Linked DNA regions of Struthio camelus. The protein of the gene in region 1 binds, or shares a complex with, the protein of each later gene. Links are inferred from orthologs where the notes say so. Each region holds a gene or a part of one and is shown on either strand. Other genes may lie near its edges. The genes, in order: KCND2 and KCNIP1.

The links.
Region 2: the proteins of KCND2 (region 1) and KCNIP1 are in contact, whole or in part, in a cryo-EM structure (PDB 7E8E), measured with the Homo sapiens proteins. The link is inferred for Struthio camelus from reciprocal best matches to the Homo sapiens genes KCND2 and KCNIP1. Residues at the interface, in NP_036413.1 of Homo sapiens: Ala2, Val5, Ala7, Trp8, Pro10, Phe11, Ala12, Arg13, Ala14, Ala15, Ala16, Ile17, Gly18, Trp19, Met20, Pro21, Val22, Ala23, Ser24, Gly25, Met27, Ala29, Pro30, Gln33, Arg35, Lys36, Arg37, Thr38, Gln39, Asp40; in NP_001030009.1 of Homo sapiens: Thr60, Arg62, Glu63, Val66, Leu67, Arg69, Gly70, Phe71, Asn73, Glu74, Phe85, Ile88, Tyr89, Gln91, Phe92, Tyr101, Leu105, Phe109, Phe122, Leu126, Leu129, Leu130, Lys137, Thr141, Leu144, Tyr145, Val162, Ile165, His185, Phe189.

Annotation. Positions count from the first base shown.
Region 1 is NC_090942.1:26,676,650-26,688,605, reverse strand, and holds the start of KCND2 (A-type voltage-gated potassium channel KCND2), read left to right. Parts: upstream 1-3,924; 5' UTR 3,925-4,009; intron 4,010-4,779; exon of another isoform or gene 4,780-4,886; intron 4,887-5,752; exon of another isoform or gene 5,753-5,917; intron 5,918-6,126; 5' UTR 6,127-6,185; coding exon 6,186-7,300; intron 7,301-11,956. UniProt on the Homo sapiens protein: Voltage-gated potassium channel that mediates transmembrane potassium transport in excitable membranes, primarily in the brain. Mediates the major part of the dendritic A-type current I(SA) in brain neurons.
Region 2 is NC_090954.1:19,314,486-19,326,441, reverse strand, and holds the start of KCNIP1 (A-type potassium channel modulatory protein KCNIP1), read right to left. Parts: upstream 6,575-11,956; 5' UTR 6,426-6,574; coding exon 6,338-6,425; intron 1-6,337. UniProt on the Homo sapiens protein: Regulatory subunit of Kv4/D (Shal)-type voltage-gated rapidly inactivating A-type potassium channels. Regulates channel density, inactivation kinetics and rate of recovery from inactivation in a calcium-dependent and isoform-specific manner.

The DNA.
Region 1 (11,956 bases):
TTTTATAGTCAACGGATACCTGCATATATACACTCAGATTGTAGGTGGAATGCTTTGGTCTCTGGAATTATTTCTCTCTGTTGGCTCCAGGAAGTTAGGCTGAGCAGGCTCTTCATTAGGTATCACAGGTGCCTAAAGCTAAATAGGTTGAAATTGAGTCTCATTATATAGATGAAACAACTATTCCTTTGATGATATTATATGAGCCAAAACATGAATTTAAAATTAGTAATATGTATTTATCTAAAGCAAAGTTTAAAAGTTTGTATTTACCATTTTACTGGTGGGTAAATTACCACTAATTTCAAGACGAATTCCCAGTGCTTAGTGTGACTAATACATAGTTAAGTAGAAGTAATCTTTTCTATAATTTCCTGTACATCAAGAAAAACATATACAATTACTAAGAGTATTTGTTGATTTAGAGCAGATAAAATATCTGAGATCAAATCAGGCCCTTCTTTGAAAAACTGAGACAAACTTCTTGAGACTATACCAAGTATCACCTTAACCTCACCTTAAGCAGAAAAGAAACCACAGTGCTTATGGCTCTGTTCTCATCTTCCATCTACTAAGTCTGTATTAAATGCACAAAAAAAACTTTTTCCACAGAGATAAGGCACTTTATTTTCAGGTTAATTTTCAGGCTATGCTAACTCTCAGGCCGGTTTCAGAATTTAAAAGAAATGATGTATGTTGGGCACTTCCCCCACAGTATGACTTAATCCTTGACCAGTGGGAGGTCATTTTTTAAGGTCCAGAGCAATCTATTTCTCCAGATAGAAAGAAAGATGACAAGCACAGGCACTGCAGAGTGACCTGAGCCTATTTTAGCAACCTTCAATAAAGATGACTTTTTCTCTTTGAAAAATTATGCCCATATCAAAACCCTCCTGCCTATCTGCCTGGCCCACAGTACAAAACCTAGTTAGATTTAAACGAGATAAATCTACAAAGGCCAGGAAATTGCAGACTGTGAAAATGTATATTTTCATTAGTTGCATGTGACCAAAGCATGATTTATTTGACTTGCACTATAAAATCAAACATTTTCATCTGTGTATGAGACTCATTCTTAAGCTAGTGACTGCAGTTCTTGAGTGAGCCTAAGTGACCAACACTGTAGTAAGCATTATACTAGTGTCTTTCTATGTAGAAGGTCTCTCAGGTTCCCTCTGTTGGAGAAAAAAAATCAAATCCCTCCCCCGCCTTAGACTGAGAAGCATTCAGACCTGCAAACAAGGAAAATATGAAGCAAAAGAGGCAGATCAATAGAATATTCTGTTAGTAGTAACCAGAGTGGCTCTGGGCAGAAACCGCTGCATTTTGTGGAAGACTGAGTAATGTTGATTCCTATAAATTAAGAGAAAAGGCCTTTCCATCTTTTCACCAAAGAGCACGTAAATACGTTCTTTGTTATGGAGACTATTCTTACTAATCCTAGAGGGGGAAAATAGCTTATAATCAGAACCCAGTTGCCTCTGCAGGATTTTATGCATTTGGTATTCGCTGCACCAGTATGTCTTAATATAAGAATGCAAGAATTGTGAAATTACCTTCTAGACTAAAGAGGGAAAAAAAGAAAGAAATCAGAGGTATAGCTAATTCTTAAGGTTGAGACTTACAAGGTGGCTTTGAATATTTGTGTTTTTCTTTTTTTCAAAACCCTATCAGTTAAGGAAAGCTTAGTACTAAAGGAATTATGAAGAGAGAATGTACATAATTCAGTTTGTGAAGGAAATTCTTGGTTTCAAAGGTTCTAAATATTTTGAAAAAATTAAATACACTAATATAAACATATGCATTATAGCTGTTTAATCCTTAGAGAGTTCTTTGTAGCTCATGACTTTGGAAAGAATTTAGAAACAGCTCGTATTAGAATGTATTGTTTCATTCCCCTTAGTACCATTCTTTTCTGGTCTTACAATTACTAGGATTTATTTTCTTAGCTTGAAAATAGGATTTTTGTCTTATTTGAGATCCAGCTACTTAATTCCTAGTTGAAGTCAACAGTCCTCCCTGTCACATAACACCAGTCTCTTGATGTCACAGATGATTGAACTGTGATGTCACATGAAGGACTTTGACTTCAGAAGAACAGACAATTTATTCTTGCATATACACTTTGTATACTAGAATTTAACCTCTCTGAAATGTACAAAGTAAGAACAGACGGACATTTTCAAGACACTAACCATGCACAAGTTGAGAAAGTTCGACCTTCTTGGTTAGTGCTTCTCACTAGAATCGTAATGAACTTTCTGCTAGAATAAGAAGGTAGTAGACTATGCTTACCAATACACTTTCTGGCTTTTCCTTCCATGATACCATTTCTGAAAGAAGCTTTTCTGATACACAGGCTGTGCAACAAGAACAAAAACAAAAAAAAAAAAGTGATCATCTTTACAAATAGCCAATGCTATTAGAAAAGGGAAACTTTGAACCCGGACCGTTTTCAAACCTCTGTTTTAAAATAGGCATAGTATTATACCATTACCTGATCCCCCCACTTGTCCAAATGTATTGCTTTGTTTTTTCTTTTTCCTGATGAAACGTGGTAAGTCTTTGAAATAACATTAAGATTTCAACAAGAATCAAAGTGATTCTTAATGGAACACGTTCTCCTCTCTATTGAAGAAAAAAACCCCAAAACAAAAAAAAAACCCCAAACCTTTGTTTTCAAGTGAGGTTCTGTAAAAACCTGCATATAAAAACCAATTGAAAGAAGTAACTGTTTACTGTAATGCCAGTCGGGTTAAAAAATAAGAGCATGTATTGATTACAAAAAGAATCTATAGTGGAAAAGGAAACCTCTTTTGACTATTTGTCAGGAAACAAAGTCCTACATTATTATCTTAGTGCTGAGCTGACAGGACGATAAATTGGCCTTTATTAATTGCTATAGGATTGTTATTTTGTATCACTAAATCAAAAATCCTCATCTTTTCCTTCATATGGGAGAAGCATATCATTATCATTGCAATCTCTACACTTAAATCTCGACCAACTAATTTCAAATTAATGGATTAATTTATAAGAATTAATCAGCTGAATGTTTACACCTGAAAAAAATCTTTAGTGAAACTACAGAAGGTATTCTTTTTATGTGATTTTTTTTTTTGTTTCATGTGATTTCAGGTATGTGATTGATTGTAGCCATCATAAGTCTTCCTAATTTAGGAACTACACTTCAACATTTTTTAATCTTTTTGTCTGCATGCTTTCAAGTATTCCTCATGGGAACAGCTTACAGACTACAGTATTGATAGTGTTCTTCATCTTTTTTATGGAAACTTAAACAGAAGCTAATACACACTGAAATCAAGCATATCACTGAGATATAGAAAAGAGATAATTTCCAGGCTTCAGTATGTATTTGTTTTATTTTTCATATTTTCCTTGATTTTCCCTGTTTCCACGTTTTGTTTTAGATTTCTTTGGCACATGCCTAAGATAGGTTATTAGAGCGGGAGGTTTGGTCAACAGATCTTCAAGTATAAAGGGGCCTATTTACTGTATGATTCCTTTGCAAGCCCTCCGTGTTATTACTAAACTGAAACAAACGCATATTAGGAGGAATGCCTTCTGAGGTCTTGACGCGAGCTCAGTGATGAAGAACCCGAGTGTTTTCAGCATTTTAATTACAAAATACAAGCAGCTCGTTCTGCTCATCAGAGCTAGCAGAAGGGCACGTAAAGCTCGAGGCATTATGTCACCGCTTTCCCCCGAAGACGCAGCGCTGCTCTGCGCTCATCTGCCGCTGGCGAGGCTGCGGAGGGCGCCGGGCGCAGCGCGGCGGCGGGCGGCGGCGGCGATGCGGGGCGGCGGGGAGCCAGCGCCGGCGCGGCCCCGCGCGGCCCCCCGGCCCGGCCGCGGCGGCCCCGCACTCCTCGTCATCCACACGCCATCTAGCGACGGGAAAAAGGGGGCGGCTTCGCACGGGAGCGGAAAGGACGGAAGGAGGAAAAGGCTCGCATACCCGTCCCAGCTCTCGCCTGTCTGAAAGCGGGTAAGAGCCGTTCGGATATTGCAGCGAGCACGCCGGAGTGGCTCGGAGCGGGTGTCGAGAAGCCTCGCAACACTTCACTGCCAGGCATTTGATTTTTTTCCCCCCTTTCTCTCTTTCTTCCCCTCCCCTTGAGAGGAGCTAGCACTTCAGAGAAATCTCCCTAGCTGCCTCACCTAAGCCATCTCCACAGCCCGATCCCCACCCGAAACACCGCTAACTCTCTGCGCGGCGCTGACGGCGGAGGGGTTGGACCGCGCGATCCAGGCACCGACACCCCCCCACCCACACACCCCGGCACTCCCCGCCAGCGCGGCCGCCCGCAGCCCGCTTTGTTCCGCCCGCGGAGCCATGCCCTCCGCGCCCGCGCCGCGCCGCCCCGCTTCCCCCCTGCGCCGGCGCCCGCCCCTGCGCCCCGAGCCCGCGGGCGGCGGCGGCGGCGCGGGCAGGCGGCATGGCCCGCCCGCCGCGGGGGAGGCAGCGGGGAGCCCCCCCCGCCCCCGGCCGCGCCAGGGCCTCGCCGCCGCCCGCAGCCCCGCGGCAGCCCCGCGGCAGGGGCAGCGGCCGCAGCCGCGCCTGACGGCAGCCCCGCGCCGCAGGATCCGCTCCCCGAAAGGACGTGCTCCGTTGAGTTGCCAGGCGCGATTACGTTGTTTTTTCCCCCCACCCACCCCTTGAACTTGTTGCTTGGCGCTCGGCGGTGGCGGAGGGGGGTGGGGGTGGGGGAAAGCCTTATTATCGATGTCCCTTTGGATGCGATCAAGCTTTCTCAGGAGCAACTACTTCCCCGCCGTTCCCGGCGGGGCACGGAGATCTCGCGGCAGAGCCTGTATTTCTAAAAGTCTCTATGCAACTGAGCGCTCTCGTCAGACTTTCCCAGGTAGGTGCCGCAGGCTGGGCACGTCCGGAGGGATGCGAGAGCAGAGCCAGGGGAAGGGGCGAGGAGAAGGAGGCGGGAGGGGGAGACCATCCGCTGCTGGCCGCCGAGCTGCACCCTGCCGCGGCTGCGGCGGGGCCCCGCGCCCGCCTCCCCGCCGCCCCCGCGCCCGCCCCGGCCTCCCCCGGCTCTGGGCAGCCCCAGCCCCTGCCCCTGCCCTGCTCCATCGCGAGGCGCCCCCGGCTTCGCCCTTCGCCGCCTGCTCGGCCGCTGCCGAGGATGCCCCGTGTCCCCCGCATCGCACCCTCAGCGGGGGCCTCGGGAGCCCCCGCTCCATCCTCCTCTCCCCCGCCAGCAGGGCCCTGCTCGGCGCTGTCCCCGCTCCGGATCGATCCTTGCCCCAGCCCCAGGCGCCCCATGCTGGGGGAGACTCGCCTCCCGCCCGCTCCGCTCTGCAGGTCGCTCCCTCCTCGCCCCTCTCCAGGTGCCCCCTCCCCTGCGCCCCTCTGCCCTTCAACGCATTTCCTACAAGGAAAACTTGCCTTAAAGTTTAATGCTGCCGCGCGGAGCTCCTCCCCCTGCCCCGCCGGCTCCCCCGGCCCCAAACCTGGGTCAGGAGGAGTCCGCGGGGGGCAGCCATCAAGGTCAGGGAGCGGATTCGTCCCGCTGCTGCTCCAGGGCTGCGGCCGGAGCGGCGGGGGGGGAGGGAGGGGGCGGCCGGCCCGGCCCGGCCCGGCCCATCCCCTCCGCCCCGGCACGGCGAGCGGGCGGGCGGCGCCAGGCGGCCCCGCTGCAGCCCGCCCGGCAGGACTGCGCCGACGGCCGCGGCCGGGCTCCGGCGGCGGGCGGGGAGCGAGCGGAGGAGGGGCGCGGGGCCCGGCTGCATCGCGCGTGGAAGAAAATCTCCTTCCAGGTGGCTGCACCGATGCACCAGGGCTGCTAGCCAGCTGCTGGGGTTAGCGCTGTGGATCGTCACTTCCATCGAGGGGCCACGTATGGACCTCATCGCCAAAGGATCCGGCTGCTAGGGAGTAGTAGGTGCTTTGAATATGTTGATTTCCCGGTGTCCTGATTTATTGCCCTAACTGGCTAATCAGTCCCTGGAAAGGATAGTCTAGGACGAGGAAGGGGAGGAAACAAGATTAAGCAGCCCAGTTAATACTGAATCACAATAGCGTTCTGGAATCCTGTTGCCTCAAAAACGTGTGAGCATTTATATTTTTCTTTTTCCTTTGTGTTTTAGTGGCCATACCAGAACTGTCTCTAAACTGACTCTCTCAGCTGTAGTAGCTGTTCAGGACCATGGCAGCAGGAGTGGCAGCATGGTTACCCTTTGCCAGGGCAGCCGCCATAGGATGGATGCCAGTGGCCACAGGTCCTATGCCAGCTGCTCCACGGCAGGAGAGGAAGCGAAGCCAGGACTCTCTGATTGTGCTGAACGTGAGTGGTATCCAGTTCCAGACATGGCTGGACACCTTAGAACGCTACCCCGACACTCTGCTGGGCAGTTCAGAGCGGGACTTCTTCTACCACCCTGAGACACAGCAGTACTTTTTTGATCGGGACCCTGACATCTTCCGCCACATTCTCAACTTCTACCGTACAGGGAAGCTTCATTACCCCCGCCAAGAGTGCATCTCTGCTTATGATGAGGAGCTGGCCTTCTTTGGCATCATCCCCGAGATCATTGGCGACTGCTGTTATGAGGAATACAAGGATCGCCGGCGTGAGAACGCTGAGCGCCTGCAGGATGATGCTGATCAGGATCATGCAGCCGAGAGCTCCTTACCCTCTATGACAGCTCGGCAGAGGATGTGGCGGGCCTTTGAAAACCCACACACCAGTACACTGGCTCTGGTCTTCTACTATGTCACTGGTTTCTTCATTGCTGTCTCTGTTATTGCCAATGTGGTGGAAACAGTGCCCTGTGGGGTAAGCCCAGGCCGCATCAAGGAGCTGCCCTGTGGAGAGCGCTATGCTGTGGCTTTCTTCTGTCTGGATACTGCCTGTGTCATGATCTTCACAGTTGAATATCTGTTACGCCTGCTGGCAGCCCCTAGTCGTTACAAGTTTGTACGCAGTGTCATGAGCATCATTGATGTGGTTGCCATCATGCCGTATTATATCGGCCTGGTGATGACAGATAACGAGGATGTCAGTGGGGCTTTTGTGACACTGCGAGTCTTTCGTGTCTTCAGGATCTTTAAGTTTTCCCGTCACTCACAGGGGCTGCGCATCCTGGGCTACACCCTGAAAAGTTGTGCCTCGGAGTTAGGCTTTCTCCTCTTCTCGCTTACCATGGCCATCATCATCTTTGCCACAGTCATGTACTATGCAGAGAAAGGTTCATCAGCCAGCAAGTTCACCAGCATCCCTGCAGCCTTCTGGTACACCATTGTCACCATGACAACACTGGGGTAAGTGCAGCTGGCATTTGGTTACAGCCAACATTTCAACAAGTGTATTGCCAGGAATGGAAAATGCTCAATTTCAAAAATGTTAATAGAAAGAAATGAAAGGGTAAGTTTTTGTTCCTCAACTTTATAAATACAACTCAGCACTCCTTTTAAAATGCTTTACATATGCAAGTGAGTTAAAAGTGTTGCTAAAGTTAAAATAACCCAGGCCCCAAACTGGACATGAATTGAAAAACCCAAACAAATGTAATTCTTAAAACTATGTTTGGGTTCTTCACCATTTTCTCTGACAGTTTATTCGGTCTGGATAGTGAAATTGCAAGATTTTCTAAATATTTGTGAGTTATCAGTGGATTTCTAGTAGAATAGTATGATTTCTGATAGGATTTGTTGCAGTGTTGCTAAAGTAGTGATAGTTATGAGAAGAAAACAGGTGCAATATTTTGATTTGACCATGCATAGAAGTATGTGGATCTGCCATTTTGTTTGAATTGAAGTATTGATGGGGACTTTGGTATAGATTTGGGTACTGCAAGGTGGTTTTTTTTCACAAAAATAAAAAAGAATCTTAATCTCCACAGGAAAAAAAAAGTCCTGATCTTATTTAAGACATTGGACAAAATCCCTTTGATTTCCATAGAACTGCAGCTTAGCTCCAAGTAAATAGCACATGTCAAGCTTTGCTTACCTATGACACAGTGTGGAAAAAGGTTTGAGAAAGTGTGAAACACTTATATGACAGGTCAAATAAATATCTAAAACATAATTCTAATGACTAGAAATTCTTCCAGAGAATTAGGAGTTAAAAGATGCTTGGTCAACAAAAGATTGTTGACACTAAACTCCAATAGAGTTTAGTGGAAAGATAGGAGATAGTACCTAGCATTGTTTTATAAAGATAACAGGTCTCTTACTGATACTAGAATCACATTGTAGCAGCTGACTCTGTACACCAGGCTGTACGATGTGTTTATCTGTAATGCTAAAAGGGATTTAGAAAGTTTGGCTCATTTGAGAAGACAATTTGTTGCCCTGTTCTTAATTTTGGGCTTTATAGTATCAGCTATGAAACTGAAAATTTTTTGATTCCTTATAAATTTTCTAGCTATTTAATAATTACAGGTATTAAGAGACACAACTTTTCACTCTCATGAAGATGAGGACCGTCATTTTATTAGTCAAACATTTTGCCACATCTTGTTGAAATTGTTGAGATTTATGAAACACGTATAATTTTTAAGCTTAACAAAATGAAAGTGCATTATGAAACTATTATGGAAAAAGTTGATTTATTATATGCAATCATAATTCAGCTGGAAAAATCACATATAGAATTTTGAACAAGATAAAGGGACTGTATTATGCCACCATTTTTTTAGAAAAGCCTTTTATCTTCAGCACACTATAACAAATGAAGATAAATATAGTACATTGTAAATATTTCATAATACTTGTGAAGGCAAGTTATGCTAAAAAGGAATGACAAGAGCTTTGGGGATTTTAATCTACTTTTTAGGTTGCTGGGTTTTTTAGTTTTCATTTTCTTCTGGTAGTGACAAACTAAAGGGACAAGTTAGCACAAGGAACAAGTTATACATGATAACTAGTTCCACAGTCCTATTCTTTCTGATACTGTCTGATACATTTGCCACATATTTTTAATTATCATTTGAACTGTGATGATTTCAGCAAGTTAAGTCATAAGAATTTACCAATTTTTATAATATACAATTTTATTATTAAAAAGCAGGAGATGGCCTGCATTTTTTTGTAATGAAAGGTATTTGTTACATAAGTCGAGTTCACCACTGTGGACATTGTTGTTGGCAGTACTTGTCCATGGTACTGAACCGTATTGTTAAGTAGCATAGCCAGCTCGTAATGGAATATGACACAGACGTGATATTGATTTGTCAGTGATATGACTTGGCATTGATATAACTTGTTTTTCTCTTTCATAAAAAATTGGTATAATCCCATAGTTCCATGTTTTGAGACAGTACGCTGAATACCATTTCAAGAGTACTGATGAATAACACTGAAAATCTCTTTGAACAGAGCTCAAGAACCTATTTTCAAGTACACAGGCACACGATATTTAGGTCCCTGGAGGAAGAAAAGGGATTAAAAAGAACAGATGTTTGACTCAGTTTTGGAAGTAGTTTGCATAAAGCAAGTTTTGAGCAACTTTCACAGAGATGCAAAGTTTCAGCCTTACAAGTTCCTATATGATTACAAGTTCAGATATTACAGACATCATAACTTGCTGGGAAATTTTTAGCCAATACATTAGCTAGATGATATCCTTTAAAAAATTCTGATAACTATGTAAAGACTATGCTTAAATGTTAAATAAATATGAATAATTTTAATTGAATTGCATAACAAAAGCTTTCAACTGTCTTTAGTTGAGGGAATGATTATAGAAAAAGAGAGGGAAATTCTAGGAAAAGCAGCAAGCGTTAGTGAAAGCTGACTGCAATTAGTACTGCTGCCTTCGGTTCTATGTTAGATCCTGTCACCATTGACTTTTGTAGAACTCCCATTTATTTTTAATTTTAGTTTTTGCTGAACAAGGGCTATAAAATTGGGCTCTATATGAACAACTTTTTTATTTTAGGAATAAAGTTAGCTGAAATCTCTTAATTTTAAAATAATAGTAGCACACAGCAGGCTCTCTGAAATATTATAAAAATACATGAAAACTAATAGACTATGCTATGAATAATAGACTAACTATTTGAGTTTTTGACTCTGAGTGTCATTCTCACATTTTTCTAGATAGCAAGGGTATTGAGTAGCGACCTTTGCAATTTGGGGAGTTATTATCTTCGAAGCAGAGCTATATTTCTCCGTTCTGCATGATTGCTGAGCAATTAAAGCGTCTTTAAAAAACATAGATTACATTTTTCTCTGCAGAGTGCCAGTGACTTCAAATATTGCTACATTTTAGCCTCCAAGGACATCCCAGCTATTAACTATTCTTGACTGCTCAACTCAAGTGATACATAATTGCACATAGAGATGTTATATGAATGAATGAATGAATGAATGTATGAATGGAAGAGAGAGAAAGAGAAGACTCTAGAAGAATAGCATGCCATCTTCCAGAAACCGAGGTGTCTGATTTCAAATTTCAGCTTGATCTTTTATCATTATTAATTATAGCAAAAGCAAAGGTAAAACAGCGAGGAGGGACAAGAGATTAAAATAGAAAGAGGTCAGAAGTCAGTATGTAGAGATTCAAGATAACAATGAGAAGCAGAGAAGTTAGGGACATAAAAGTCAAGAAACAGGGTAATGTAAAACCTCACAGAGAAAAAAAAGCTCAAATCTATTGAATTGGGACTGACAGATTTACATGGGGGCTTGTGAACATCTACACTCATAATGACACAGTTATGTCACTTTCTGCTGTCACCTCATAACAAAATAATCTAATAACTTTCCTTCTCCCTTGTCAGTAGCCAGCAAATGAGTTTGAATAGCTGTTAAATTTTTGATGGTAACAATTGTTCCTAAATCAGGCAGAGCTCTACAGTAGCTTATACTTTATAAAGATGTTGTACTTTAAATAAGGAACACAATGGTCTTTTGTGACAAGTTCAGAAGAAAACACATTGCCATATTAAAACTCTATATTTATAGGCTTTACATTGGGTAGCTTTGTCAGGTCATGTAATACATTTGTAGATAAACATAATACCTTATGGAGGCAACCTTAAGCAGAAAACTATTTATCTACTTTGGATATATAAACTAGATGTGTATCTTCCAGAAAAGATAAAGCACAAATTCATTTTCATTATTTGTTCATGTAGCCCATAATGTATGAGGAATCCCATTTAACATGTATCAAATCCCATCTGCAGAAGACTTTATAATCAAACAGGTGACTGGATGTGAGACTAGAAAGCCTCAGATAGTGAACGGGGAAATAAGACAATGGACTTCATTCTCCTGCGCGTTCCATTCTCTCCTGTCATCACTCCTTTTCCATTCTTATTACATCCTTAAGGTATATTGCACTTTTTATTTTCTTCACTTTTATTTCAAACCACCACTTTCTGTAGCCTCCTGTTTTGGGAGTTGTCTTTTGGCTTGGCTCCTTTCCTCCCTTGTTCTGGACAAGTTTAACATTCATATTAAGACTCTTGTGGCTTTACTTCCTTCTGCTTCTTTGTTCCATATTCCTCATTCATCTTTCATAACTAGATTAAATCTTTCATTCATTATCATTTTCATTCAGTTGACCTGAACTTTCCTCAAACAATTTCTTTTCTGACCTTTGCTTGATAGGTTTTTTTTCCTTATGAGCATCATAAAATTTCCACAGCATCACTTTTTTTTCCAGCTGCCATACATATTACTTTGTTTTCCTTCTCTGACCGTTATGAGTGCTTCTAGTTTCTTATGGTCTCTGCATGCTACTTCAGAAACATCCGTCTCTTCAGAACAATGTTAAAAAATCAGGAGTTAAATAAAATCTAACAAGAGAACAGAAACTTAGAAGCCTTAATTTCATGAACAATTTAATTGCATGCTTAGAAATACTTTTGTGATGAATATTAGAATATTACAAGAGTAAAGATCAACAGAGTTGGAATTTTATTTCTGTGTTTTTAGCCACTTATTGGCTAATACTTTCAAACCTCT
Region 2 (11,956 bases), on another chromosome or scaffold:
CAATTTCTCCCTTTCACTCTCTGCTGTAAGGCTCTTGCACCAGGTCTCCCATTTATAAAAGAAAGCCTTAATCACTCTTATTTTAAACCCCAGACTACTTAACTCCTAGTTATCAGCATTAGATGTCCTCCACCCATTTGCCCTGCAAGCCAAATGCTGTGAAACAGTCATTACAAATAACAAAATTAAAAGTTTAAAGCCAGCTGAGAAGTGAAAGTCAAATTACGTATGCATGCTAGTGTTTTTTAGTAAAGCTACACAAGTGTGGAAGAAGTTGGCCATGAACATTCATTCCAATTACATCAAGAGTTTAAATGCAGCCATAGTTAAAACTTCTCCATGCCTGCTTTCCGCTAGTCAGGGTCATAAACAGTAATCACACTGGAACAACAAAAACTAATACCCAAGAACAGGAACCCCACAAATACCACCATAAAGAAGAGCCAAAACAGAATTTCAGCTGCATCCCTAACAGTAGGTTTCCTGCTGAGTTTGCACTAGTTAGTTTTCCCAGGGACACAGCCTGGATCAGAAAAAACACCGCATATTCTGCTGCAAAGTTGTCAATATTTGAAAACGCTACAGAAGAGAAATTCCTAAAAAGGCATAAAAATATATTACCCCAAAACAAGTAGAGTTGACTTGCGCTTCAAGATTAGTTTGTGAATATAGGAAAGATTGACAAGCTTTGCCATATTGTCACCCACAGAACTTTAGCACTGGAGATAACTTCGCAGCTACTTGCTGCCAAATGTTTTTAAGGTGGTCTTTTCTTGAAGCTTCCTAGAGGATGATCATGCTATTGAAAAGGTAAATGTTATTAAAAAAACCTATACACACAAAATTATACTTCACATGCTGATTCAAGCTAATTTTATTTTGATGTAATACATTTTCCTAACAAAATTCAGTCATGCAGCTATCCACTTACATTACGTTCCAGAGCTATCTACTTGCACTTATTCATTAGGTAGGTCCTAACATGGTCAATTAGGTCAAAATGTGTTGTGGCATGTTCATTTTGCTCCATTTTAAATGACCATACATATGAGGTAAATTAGTATATCCATTTAGCTGCAGCAGCATGGATATAAATTCCTTAAGCCATTCTCCAGTAGCTCGTTTCGAGTGTAGCTCACAGGTTAAAAGCCACAGAACCCCCCTTGCCCCCCCCCCCCCACACACACTCCAGGATACTCAGTTTTCATGGATTGTGGCAATGCAACAGAATCTAACAGTAGGATTACCTTATTGTTTTATCCTTTACATTGTTTTCTATTACAGAATTTGCAGAATAACCCATCAGTTAACTTAAAACAATCTTCTCTTTATGAATATAGTCCTGGGAACTCACATAACAAGAGAAAAAAAAAAAGACATTTAAACTGATATTCTTAACATCTTTCCAAGTATGTTCAGTTTAGAAACATCATGGTTATTGTGACTACTGTCATTAGTTCATATGCTGAAAGATAACCTCATTTTCTCACTGACATGATAGCTGACTAGTCCCAGGGTTTAACAGCAGTCCTAGCTATCAGACACCACATCCACACATGCTTACTGGAACAGCATTACAAAAAAGCATCCTGTATTGTTTCTCAGACAACAAGATCATGTTTTCTTGTTTTCTGCATAACTGACATTACATACTCACTTTTGGGGCTACATCATTGCAAACAATGACATTCTTAACGTATTTCTAGCACATATGCAACTACTTGGCCACTTCCAGAGGTATTAGTCTCCACAAGCACAGGTTTATAAGCGGTTTGAAAAGGAGTAACAGACTATTTCCACTTCCTCTCATTCTCAGTTCTTAAAACTCACCTTGCTTCAGAGGGGAGAAGGAAATGGTACACATAGACATATATACAGATTAACTAGTGCAGCCTTTGTGGAACTGATACGTTTCTTTGCAGTTCATTTTTCATACACCTACAAACGTGTAACACGCCAATCGGAAGTGCATTTTCCTTAGTGACTCATACAGACGCAAGGGTTCATCAGCATGGAGAGAACATCACTAGGTTTGCTGGCTAAACACACACACACACACACACATCAGCGTTTCTAGCATGCAGACAATGAAATTGGAGGGCCTCGCTGAGCGGAGCGAGGATCAGGTGCTGAGCAGTGAAGCGTCACTAGCCGTAGACTCTTCCCCACAAGACACGCACTGCAGACAAGTATTCTGCCCCTCGCCCTGGCAGCCCCTCTCCGACCAAGGGTTCATACCAGCACTTTAGGCACAGAAACCTTCTCCTGTTTCTCAGGACCATGGGAACACATAGACAAACCCTAATAACTGCTCAGTATTAAACTCGGTAAAAGTGTATCATTCATCCAGCTCCTGTAACTGCTTTACTTAAAGAATATTTACAAAATGCAGGAAGTTTCAGAAGGAAAAGCTGTATCAGTTCCTTCTAAGAGCCCTGTGAATCCCAGATTCCCTAGATCCGGGGGCGTTAGCCAGAATCGAAGGGGTGAAGGTGAGCCAGACAGCAACAGGAGAATCAAAACGTCTTTCAGTATGACACACAGGTGCAGGATCCCCGGCATCTCCTGAATAACTGCAGTGAACCTCCCTGCGTCTTTAGGGCATCTAGCAGCATTTACCCTGCCCTCGCAACTGCAGAGCCTGCGACCACAAAGCCAAATCTAATACAGTGCCAGCATGCACCAAAAGAACAAGATTAATCTCTACTGAGAGAAGGCAGAGCCCATGTATGACTGTAAGAAACCATGCGCTTTCCTTACCATCTCACGTAAGGTCTCAGAAGACTAGCTGCAATTTAGAGGCACAAAGAAGCTGCAAAACAAATCACATTGCAGTCATATACTCAAAATACTCTTCTTTCATGCTGGGGAGGCTGTGGGGAGAGCAAGATGTTTGAAGACTTTATCACTGCACTGGAGCAGATAATTAGGCAATTAAAACTATGAAAAATGGACAAATTACGAGTTCCAGATGAATTGCATTGCAGAACAGAGACAGAAGAAGCAAGAAAACAGAAATGAGAGCCTTTGGCAAGCGTTTTAACAGCACAACTAAAAGAGGGGCAACCCAGGAACAAAGGGCAGTTGGCTTGCAGGAGCTTATCTACTTTTCATAAGGAATATTTTGAAGGATTTGCTCCCTAAAATAATTTTGCTTTTCTTGCACTGATAACATATTAATAGAAATCCAAGAGGCCCCAATTCAGCTCGATTTCTGGTTGCTCAGCAAGGCCTTCCTGTATTAGCGTTTTAATGATATCAGCAATATCTCCGCACACAGCCTGAGGTCCCAACACTGAGCAGGAAGTTTGTTCTTTAGTCATCTGGACCTATGGGAAATCCCAAACTCAGTCTTACCAGTTACCCTGTTTGCTCCCAGGGCACGTAGGATCAGCTACCATTTCCCATACCGCAGTAGGGATAAGGTGAAAGAACACCACATCCTCATGCAAAAACCTGTTTTAACAAGGGAACTGTGGCTAAGGTGCTGCTGCTCGCATTCGGGCTGTAAACACACCAACTCGCTTCCAGGAGTCTCGTCTGAGCTCTCCCCTTCAAGTTTTGGACCTCTATCCAAACCAGTCAGGAGAACACAGCTGTTCTGCTCTGAGCAGCTAAAGAGGGATGTGCTTCTTTATACATGTAGTCTTTAACGCATCCAGCTCTGTGGAAGAGACCTTCTCTCACACGGCAGCAGGGACCTCTGATCCATCACCAAGGTTTTCCAGATAAGAATGCACTAATAGGCGAATAGGTGAGATTCGCTAGTCCAGCTCTGCAGAGATATTAGCTATGAATTTCTTGGCTTACAGCCTTGAAGGCTTGCTGCCGATGTACATCCGCACAGACCGTACCAACCGACTACCACACGGCAGCACCAGCTGTGCCTGCTCCCATACTGCCCACTACAGAGCGATGCTGCCATCTCGTCACATCCCACTGCAAAAGGAACGACTTCAAGTGCAGCCCCAACAGTTTCCTTCTATTATTGCAAATAGTTAAGGGGGGGGGGGGGAAACACCCTACTATTAAGAAAAGCAGAAGCCATACAATTCAGCTAGGAATTGCATCTCATTGAACTCTGGAGTAGCTCACACCCCAATAAACCACAAAGAGATGGAGGCACAAGAACATAGTGAATCTTGTGCCTCACAAAGGATTTTCTTGTAAGACGTGTTTAAAGTAAAAATAAACAGTATTAAGTAGTATGAAGGTAACGAAACAGCAGGAGTGACGCGAAGAACACGAGATAGTTCTTGAATATTCAAGAGCATGTAGATGGTGTAAGTTAAAATGTACATAATAGCAATATAAAATAGTTCCCACATCTTGGCTTTATATGCAAAAAATTTGACTGGAAGAAATTCTAAACAATAAATTCTGGAATAAATGTATAAGTAAACTTCAGCTTTTTTTTTTTTTTTTAATAGAAATCAACATTTTTGAGTAAGATTTCTAATCATTTTCTTTCTAGTTGGAGTTTCACAACTAGTGATATGAAAGCGTTTATTTTAGTTAAAACAGGTCTTTGATATCCATGCAAGAAGCTCATTCACGTGCTTTATCCCTTCCTGAATCTAGTTCTTGCAGTTCAAAAACAAGCAGCTGAGCAGGGAGAAAGAAAAAAAGTGTAAGCTCTTTGCATCCTAGGAGGCCATTCTTATCTACTCCAAGCAACTCGAAACGAGCCATTGCCATGGCAGAGCGGAACGGTACCATGGCACTGGTTACCACGTAGAAAGACAACGAAAGCACAAGGCAGGCATCCTCAGGGGAGGGGTAGATTTTGGACACTTGGCTGTCATTTCTAGCCCCCCACACAGTGCTGTTCTATTTTCAAACCGAACCGTTGATGTATTGCTTTGCCAAAGCAAGCCTGGCAGCAGAGATGCAAGGGCTGCTTGTGAATTCCCCATTAGCTGACTTGCGCTAGCTGACCACAGAAGGAAACACGACCAGGACGCAGGTTTCTCACTGCCCTAGGGAGAGCACATGCGAATAGCACAAAGTTCATCAGCTGTGGCTAGCTACTACCAGCACCTCACAGAAGTATAAACCATAAGTTCGATTAGCTCCCAAAAAAGCACAAATTAGAAAAAACACCATAGGCGCTGACATGTGGATTCACTGGAGAGGGCAAGCCCCTGCAGATGCATCATACCACTGCTTTCTCTGCTCTAGCCATGCAAGTATGCAATTTCTTTCACTATGCTTTCTTTGGTGGATTTCTCCTTTGTTTTAAAGGGGAGATCTCAGCATTAATTGCAAGTTATAACCAATGTCAGGCAAGTTCTTAGTCTCTCTCTTCTGCTGGTCTTTGACAGATGACAGAACAAATGTAAGTGGCAAAAGAATAATTAAAAACAAGATGTAAATTTGAACTAATTGTGACTTTTAAAACATGTCTAGTATTTGTGTTTCGAACAGAGCATTTTGCTGTGCAGGTTTCTTCTGAAAGTCAGTAAGACTAACATGAAGAAGTCACCTTAGAAGCGCATGTGTTTCCCAGATAGACAGGACAGACCGAGGAAGTCCCCCAGTTTCTGCACAGAGAAGCCACACCAGCGTTTCAGTTCTTGGCACTTCCACAGTTGGCATTTCAAAAGTCATCTCGGGGGGCACTGAGTTTACCCTAAGAACAACTTAAACATTAAAATTCACACAGGAGCACATGTGCTCCTGACAGCCGACGCAACCATACAACACCTCTGAGGGATCTAAAATTATCTGGAAAACACACACTTCCCTTTTGTTGATCCACCACGAAAACATCAAAAAAGCTTCAGACATTTACGCGTAATAAATGCATCATAACAGAGACTCTTCAGCTTCATGAGAATCCCTCCTCCAATAACTTGGTCTAGATTTTATTACCACGTCTAAAAAAACCCAAGGAAACAAAGCAAGAACTTGGAGAAGCCTGACCTAAACGTTGCCCACGTGTCGGCAGCCGGCGGCCGAGCTGAAAACCCTCCGTTTTCCTCAGGAGCGGCCGCGGGGAAGGCGGAGAGGTGTCCCTGCCGCAGGAAAGCCGGGCGGGAGGGCCGAGGTCGCCGGCGGGTTTGTTTCTTCAGGCGCGGCGGAGAGGAGGCGCTCGGCACCGCTCCCCCCGCGCGGCGCGGGGCCCGAGGCGCCGGTGACAGGCGCCGGCGAGCGCGCAAGCGGCAGCGACCCAGATTCCGAGGCCGCTTCCGAGAGGCGCCAACACCGAAGCGACACGGGGCAGGAGCGCCGAGCCCGCACGCCGGCTCCCCACGCACCGGGGCGGCCGGCCCCGCTGGCAGCCCACGGCCAAGGCAGCCTGCCCAGCCGCGCGAGCCCAGGCGCTCCCCCTTACCTTTGCTGAGCGTGCCCGTGATGAGCTTAAACACGGTCCGGGCGAATTTAACAATCCCGTGCTTGCACCTCTTGGAGCACCCGCTCATGGCTCCAGCGCGCCGCGCCGCTCCTCTCCCCCGCGCCGGCCGGGGAGCGCGGAGTGCCCTCCACAAGTTGGGGCGTCCCGCCGGCCTCGCACCGCGCTCCGCGCCGGGCTCCTGCGGGACGGAGCGGAGGGGAGGGGAGGCGCGTCCCGCCCCAGGTGCCGCCGCGGCGCCCTGGCGGCAGGTGCCGGCGCGGGGAGGGGGCGGAGCCAGCCCGCCCCGCCCCGCCCCTCCCCGGCGGCGCGCGGAGGGGGCTGCGGCCGCCGCGCCGCGCCGCGCCGGGCTGTGGTGGCGCCGTCCCCAGCCAGCCGCAGTCCAGCCGGCGATCTCCCGCCGTCGGGCCCCGGGAGAGCCGGGCGCGACCCGTCCTGCCGCGCTGCCGGCGCGGAGCGCTCCTTCCTTCGCCAGCCGCCCGCAAAACTCTCTTTCCTGGCCGTTTTACCCTCCGAAATGCTGCTCAGCTGGTCGAAGCGCGGGGAGGGAGGGCGGGCGGGCGAGCGAGCGCGGCGTCAGGCTTGCCCAGCGCCCCCGGCTCTCTCCCTCAGGTGCCTGGTGGATTTACCCGCCAGCAGCAGCCGCGGCTCTGGCGTCTCCCATTCAGCCCATCGCTTCTGCGTGCCTGGAATACGTGGAGCAAAATTACTTTTCCGTTTGTTGTGTCCAGCGTAGCGGCGCTGCCTCAGCGCCCGCGGCCCCGCCTGAGCACTGGGCGCGGGGGGGGGGGGGGGGGGGGGCAGCCTCAGGCTTTATTTCATGCCTAAGTCCTCTCAGGTGTTTCCAGACAGCCCCAAAACACCATGCTATTTTCCTGTCCCAGGGGCGGTCGCAAGGGTTCCCCTCAGGCTGCCGCCCGGTAGGTCGCTGACTCAGCGCTGGCCGAGAGGGGCCGCGGCCAACGGCTCCCGCCTGAGGCGCGAGTGCGGCCAACGGCTGCCGCCGCGGGAGACCACGGCCGCCCCGGAGCCGCTCCGCGCTGCCTCCTTTTACCTCAGGAGAGCGGACTTCTGCGCGCCAAGAGCAAACTACGCACCGACCGGCTTGAGTAACGGTCGGGGAAAGCCGAGTTCAAGTCCATCGCCGTGGAGCCGGCCCTGAAGAGGCGGGGATGTTTTACCACGCGCCGAATTTCCCTGGGCTGCATCTGGAGCTAAAAAACCTCAAGCTCGGCTTTAGGTTTTTCATTTTTTTCCCCAAATGAACAGATTCCCCGACTGAAAACCTCAAAATAAACCTCAGAGGAAGTGACCAGCAGAGAGCAGTTCCTGCTTGCCAAGACGGCCGGCCGGTCCGCCCGACCGCCCCCCCCGCGGCTGCCCCTCCGGGGCTGTCCTGCCCTGCAGCCTCTCGGCCACGTTTCTCCAGAAGTTTCCAGAAAGTCTTTGCTCTTTCCTTGCTTACGCTCCACCGGGCCGCTTGCCTAGACCATTCTTGGCTCGAAAGCCTTGCGTGACCACCCAAAATGAGTGGCAGACTTGTAGACATATAGGCCTAAGTAACTCCATCGTGAAGCCATCTCCAAGGCTGTCCTTTATCCCCAGAGAGACAATCCAGAGCTGGAAACGTGATGCTTCAAAAGGAAAAAAAAAATGTAATAAGGCAGTAAAATGTCAATGTGGAAATCAAAGAATCAGTTGGTTGTTAATTTAGTGTATATCAAGGATTTGCAACACGCTTAATTGCATTTATATGTATCGTGATCACATTTAACTGAGGAAGAAGGGGGCAGATATTCCTGGCTACACCTAGGTTGCCTAGAGGAAAGATTATCAAGCTACCTAATGCCAGAAATTGCCTGAAAATTGCCAGAAATTTTTATTTTGTTTTAACAAACAAATGGAAATACATTGCTGCACATCCCAGCTGGTTTCAAAATTTGGCTGAAAAACCCTCATCCTGGTCAGAAAGTGGTTTAGTTGAGAAACTGTCACAGCTGGAAAGCAAAGGACTCAGTTACAAGGTGGTAACTTACCCTTTCGCAACCCAAACGTCACAAGTCAGAGGACAACAGACACAGCAAGTGCGATGGGAAGGTTATGGAGGCAGAGAGGTCTCAGGCAGTGGGGGGAAGAAGACGACTGTGTCATACCCTAGAAAACACTTTCAGCCTCTCTGACTCCCCAATTTGCCCCGGAGAACCAGATTTCATCTCAAAAGATCTGCTGGCCTCTTTTGGCCCATAGTCCACAGGGAAAAAGAAACAAATTGTAACCCATAGCAGTGCATCACCTTAGCCACAGGACTGCATAAAAGCTGCACCTGCTTCAGCAGGGTGCTGGAGCTTCATGCTCCCAGCGCTCTGGGAAATGGGGGTTAGCCAGGCCTCCAGCACAAGTTTCAGCAGCCGAAAAAAAGACCCTCTGCATGTAGTACCAAAGCTGATGAGCTTAAAAAATACTCAGATATAAAGATATGCGGGAAACATTCATAGACAGTACATGTGAATGAGAGTTCAGCAGCACAGAATTGCTCTGGCCGTTCCATATTCTTTACTACTGAGGAAATGACTTAGTACTCGTAGTACAGTGATTCCTGAAGCCCAGGACTCCGCTGGTGCTAGGTGCAGTACAAAATTAGAACAGAAAGGATGGTTCTTATCCAAGAAAGCTAAGAGTGAAACAAGAGAAAACACTGGATACGGTCAAGCAGACTGGGGGAAGCACGGGAAAACTATAAGGCAAGCTGCACAGCATGACCACGGCTAGTGCTGGCACAGGCTAACCACAGTGCCCTGTACCCATAACGGGAGAAGAAGGTTTGAAGGCAGGAGGATTAATGGTGTTTTGCAGATGCTTCTTGACTGCAAGGACCAGTATAAGAGAAAGCACAAAGCTGTTTACTTGAAGTTCAGCGTGTTGGAAAATGAAGACTGGCTATAACTGTTGTTTTGAGGCAAAAGTCAACATCCTGAATGAGTGAATGAGATGATGCATAAGAGACTGGTCATGGAGAGCCTTGCATCCTCACTGGGGTTATCTGTGGGAGAGCACAAAGGCACCTTATTCTAGTTGCAGGCAGATGATCTTCAGTGACTGGCTGAGAACTTCTCTGAGGAAAAAAAAAGGTGTTTTATCCCTGATGGCAAAGTCAATAAGGGCCGTTCAGTATAAATAGATACTGCAATTTCTTTATTTGATCAGAAGTCCAAGCAGGTCAGTCAAAGTTGGAAAGGCATACAAAGGTAGGGTTATTCAAAGGGAAGGTTGCAATGTAGGGGAAAGTATTTTTCCCTGAAGGCTTTGATGTAACAAACTCCAAAACAATACACAGAATAAATCCTCTAATTTCTTTTACATTCATTTTCAGCATGCTTAATAAGGGAATACGGTAGTTACACAGTACTCAGGAATGTAACTGTTTTACTCACACCCATGCTTAGTTTTATTTTCTGCTTATAAAATCTGAGAGGACTATATAACATGATAATTGTCATCCCAGAGGGATATAAAAGCAAGTACATTGTAGGAAATTGTTCTTTCCTAATTTGCCATTGAGGATCGCAGCGTGGGTGGGTGAGAGGTGAAAGCATTCTCTGAGTATATAAGACTCATCTGGGCTAAGTTCAAGCAGGGGTTCAGCTACTGCGGTTCCCACTGACATCAAAGGCAGTTCAGTCCTATTTGCATCAGGAGAAAATTTAATCCCTTAACTTGAAACCACACAGCAAATGCTTGAGCATAATCTCCAGGATAGGTATGAATAAACAGACTGTGAACTTGGATGCCCTGCTTTCTTACTGCCTTCTCCCGCATAAAGGAAATTTCCCCCCTTTTTTTCTTCTGTGGGTGCAGTAGGTTCGTCAAGAGCAGTTCTATGGCAACCTGCTGTCAGGGATGTAAGGGTACAGCATTTGTCCTACCAGGTTCATCCCAGATAGATACTGTAGCGATGCTGTGGAGGCTGAAGGGCAAAGGGGATGACAGCTGGGATACATCATGGATCCTGGGATCTTGAAGGATGCACTGACAGAAGATACACTCTCACTTTTTTTTATATTCTTTCCCTAATTTACTGCTACTTGCCACTATGAGAGACAGTCATCAACTGCTTAGGCATTTGGTCTGGTCCATTCTTATATCTGGCTGCCAAAAGACTTTTGCATGGAAGCCATAAAGTCGTTCCCCCCCCCCCCCCAACACACACACACCTGGAAGCAAATCCTACTCATTCCCATTCCCTGTGGCTTAGGAGAGGGCATCACTGCAGAAATTTCCTCCTCTCCAATTCCTTCCCATAATTTTTTTTCTTAAATTTTTCCATCTTGATATGACAAACTGTTCCATGAATCCAGAGAGAAAGAGCAGGATCTTTTCTCCTGCAATGGGAATGGTGTTTTCAATCTCAGCATATTCAGCTTGAGCCTTGACCCCCCCCCGGCAGGCCCTGATGTCCTGACTGCCAGAACTGGAGACGTGGCTGGAGCTGGAGCCACAGATTCTTTCCCCGCCTGGGCGGCCAGCTCTTCTTCCCAGAGAAAAGAGGCATGGGAGCAGCTGGTATGCACCAAGTCTCACCCGATATGGAGCTGGAGAGGAGCTGGGGTGTGCTCTTGGGTCCCAAAGTGTTGACACAGACATACTGTATCATGTTCACTGCACTCCCAAAGACACAAGTGTCTCAGGATAGGCCATAAATACGATTCTGATGATCTGTTTGGAAGTAAGTCTAATGAGTACGGGCAATTGTTCCTACTAGCTGTGTCCTAGGTTACTTCCAATCTAGAGGTAATTAATGCAACATCACTTAACAGTTTTATTGCCCCATGACTAAGACAGGGAGTATTGCTTCAAAGGGTAGCTTTGAAAATTGACCTACTTGAAATGAAGAATTGACAGCCAGCTTACTCGAATACATATAGCCTGTGTGGATAGAGCTCTGAGCATATCACGTCCCCTGTCATTACTATTATTTGCAATAATAATACCATTAATAATAATATATTTAGCATTTCTCCAGATGCTTTTCCAAAGGAAGTTTGTATTAATATCCCCCTTTTTAGAACTTGGTAAACTGTCATATGACCAGATGAACTCACTTCCCTATGATTACCAAGAACAGAAAGTGGCAGCGAGAAGATCAGAATTGAGATCTCCTTTGTACCACTCCAGCACTCGAGCAGCATCCCAGCCCTGATATTATCTTCACCACTGCTCTCCTGCATTGCTACCAAGGAAGATAACGGTCGTACTGCATTTTCACGCACTCTGTAATTCCAGTTAGTATTATCAATCAATCAGAGCCACTGGAACAGTGCATGGAGACTTCCTTGTCATTACACAACTTTTTTTAATGGCACAGTAGTTATCTCTAGACTAAGAGGCAGCGTTCCTCAGCAGAGGAGAGCATATAGCTTGCTACACATCAGTATTTTCTACAAACTGTCCACTCCAATTGGGTCATCTCTTTGTCTAATATCCCGTCTGTCAAACATGACTCTAATTGTTTATTTATACAGGAGTCCAGGGGAAGAAGGGTTTCTTATGAAAAAGCATGCACACTAAAATGGGCTTTTTAAAGCACAGATGAGAAACTAAGAG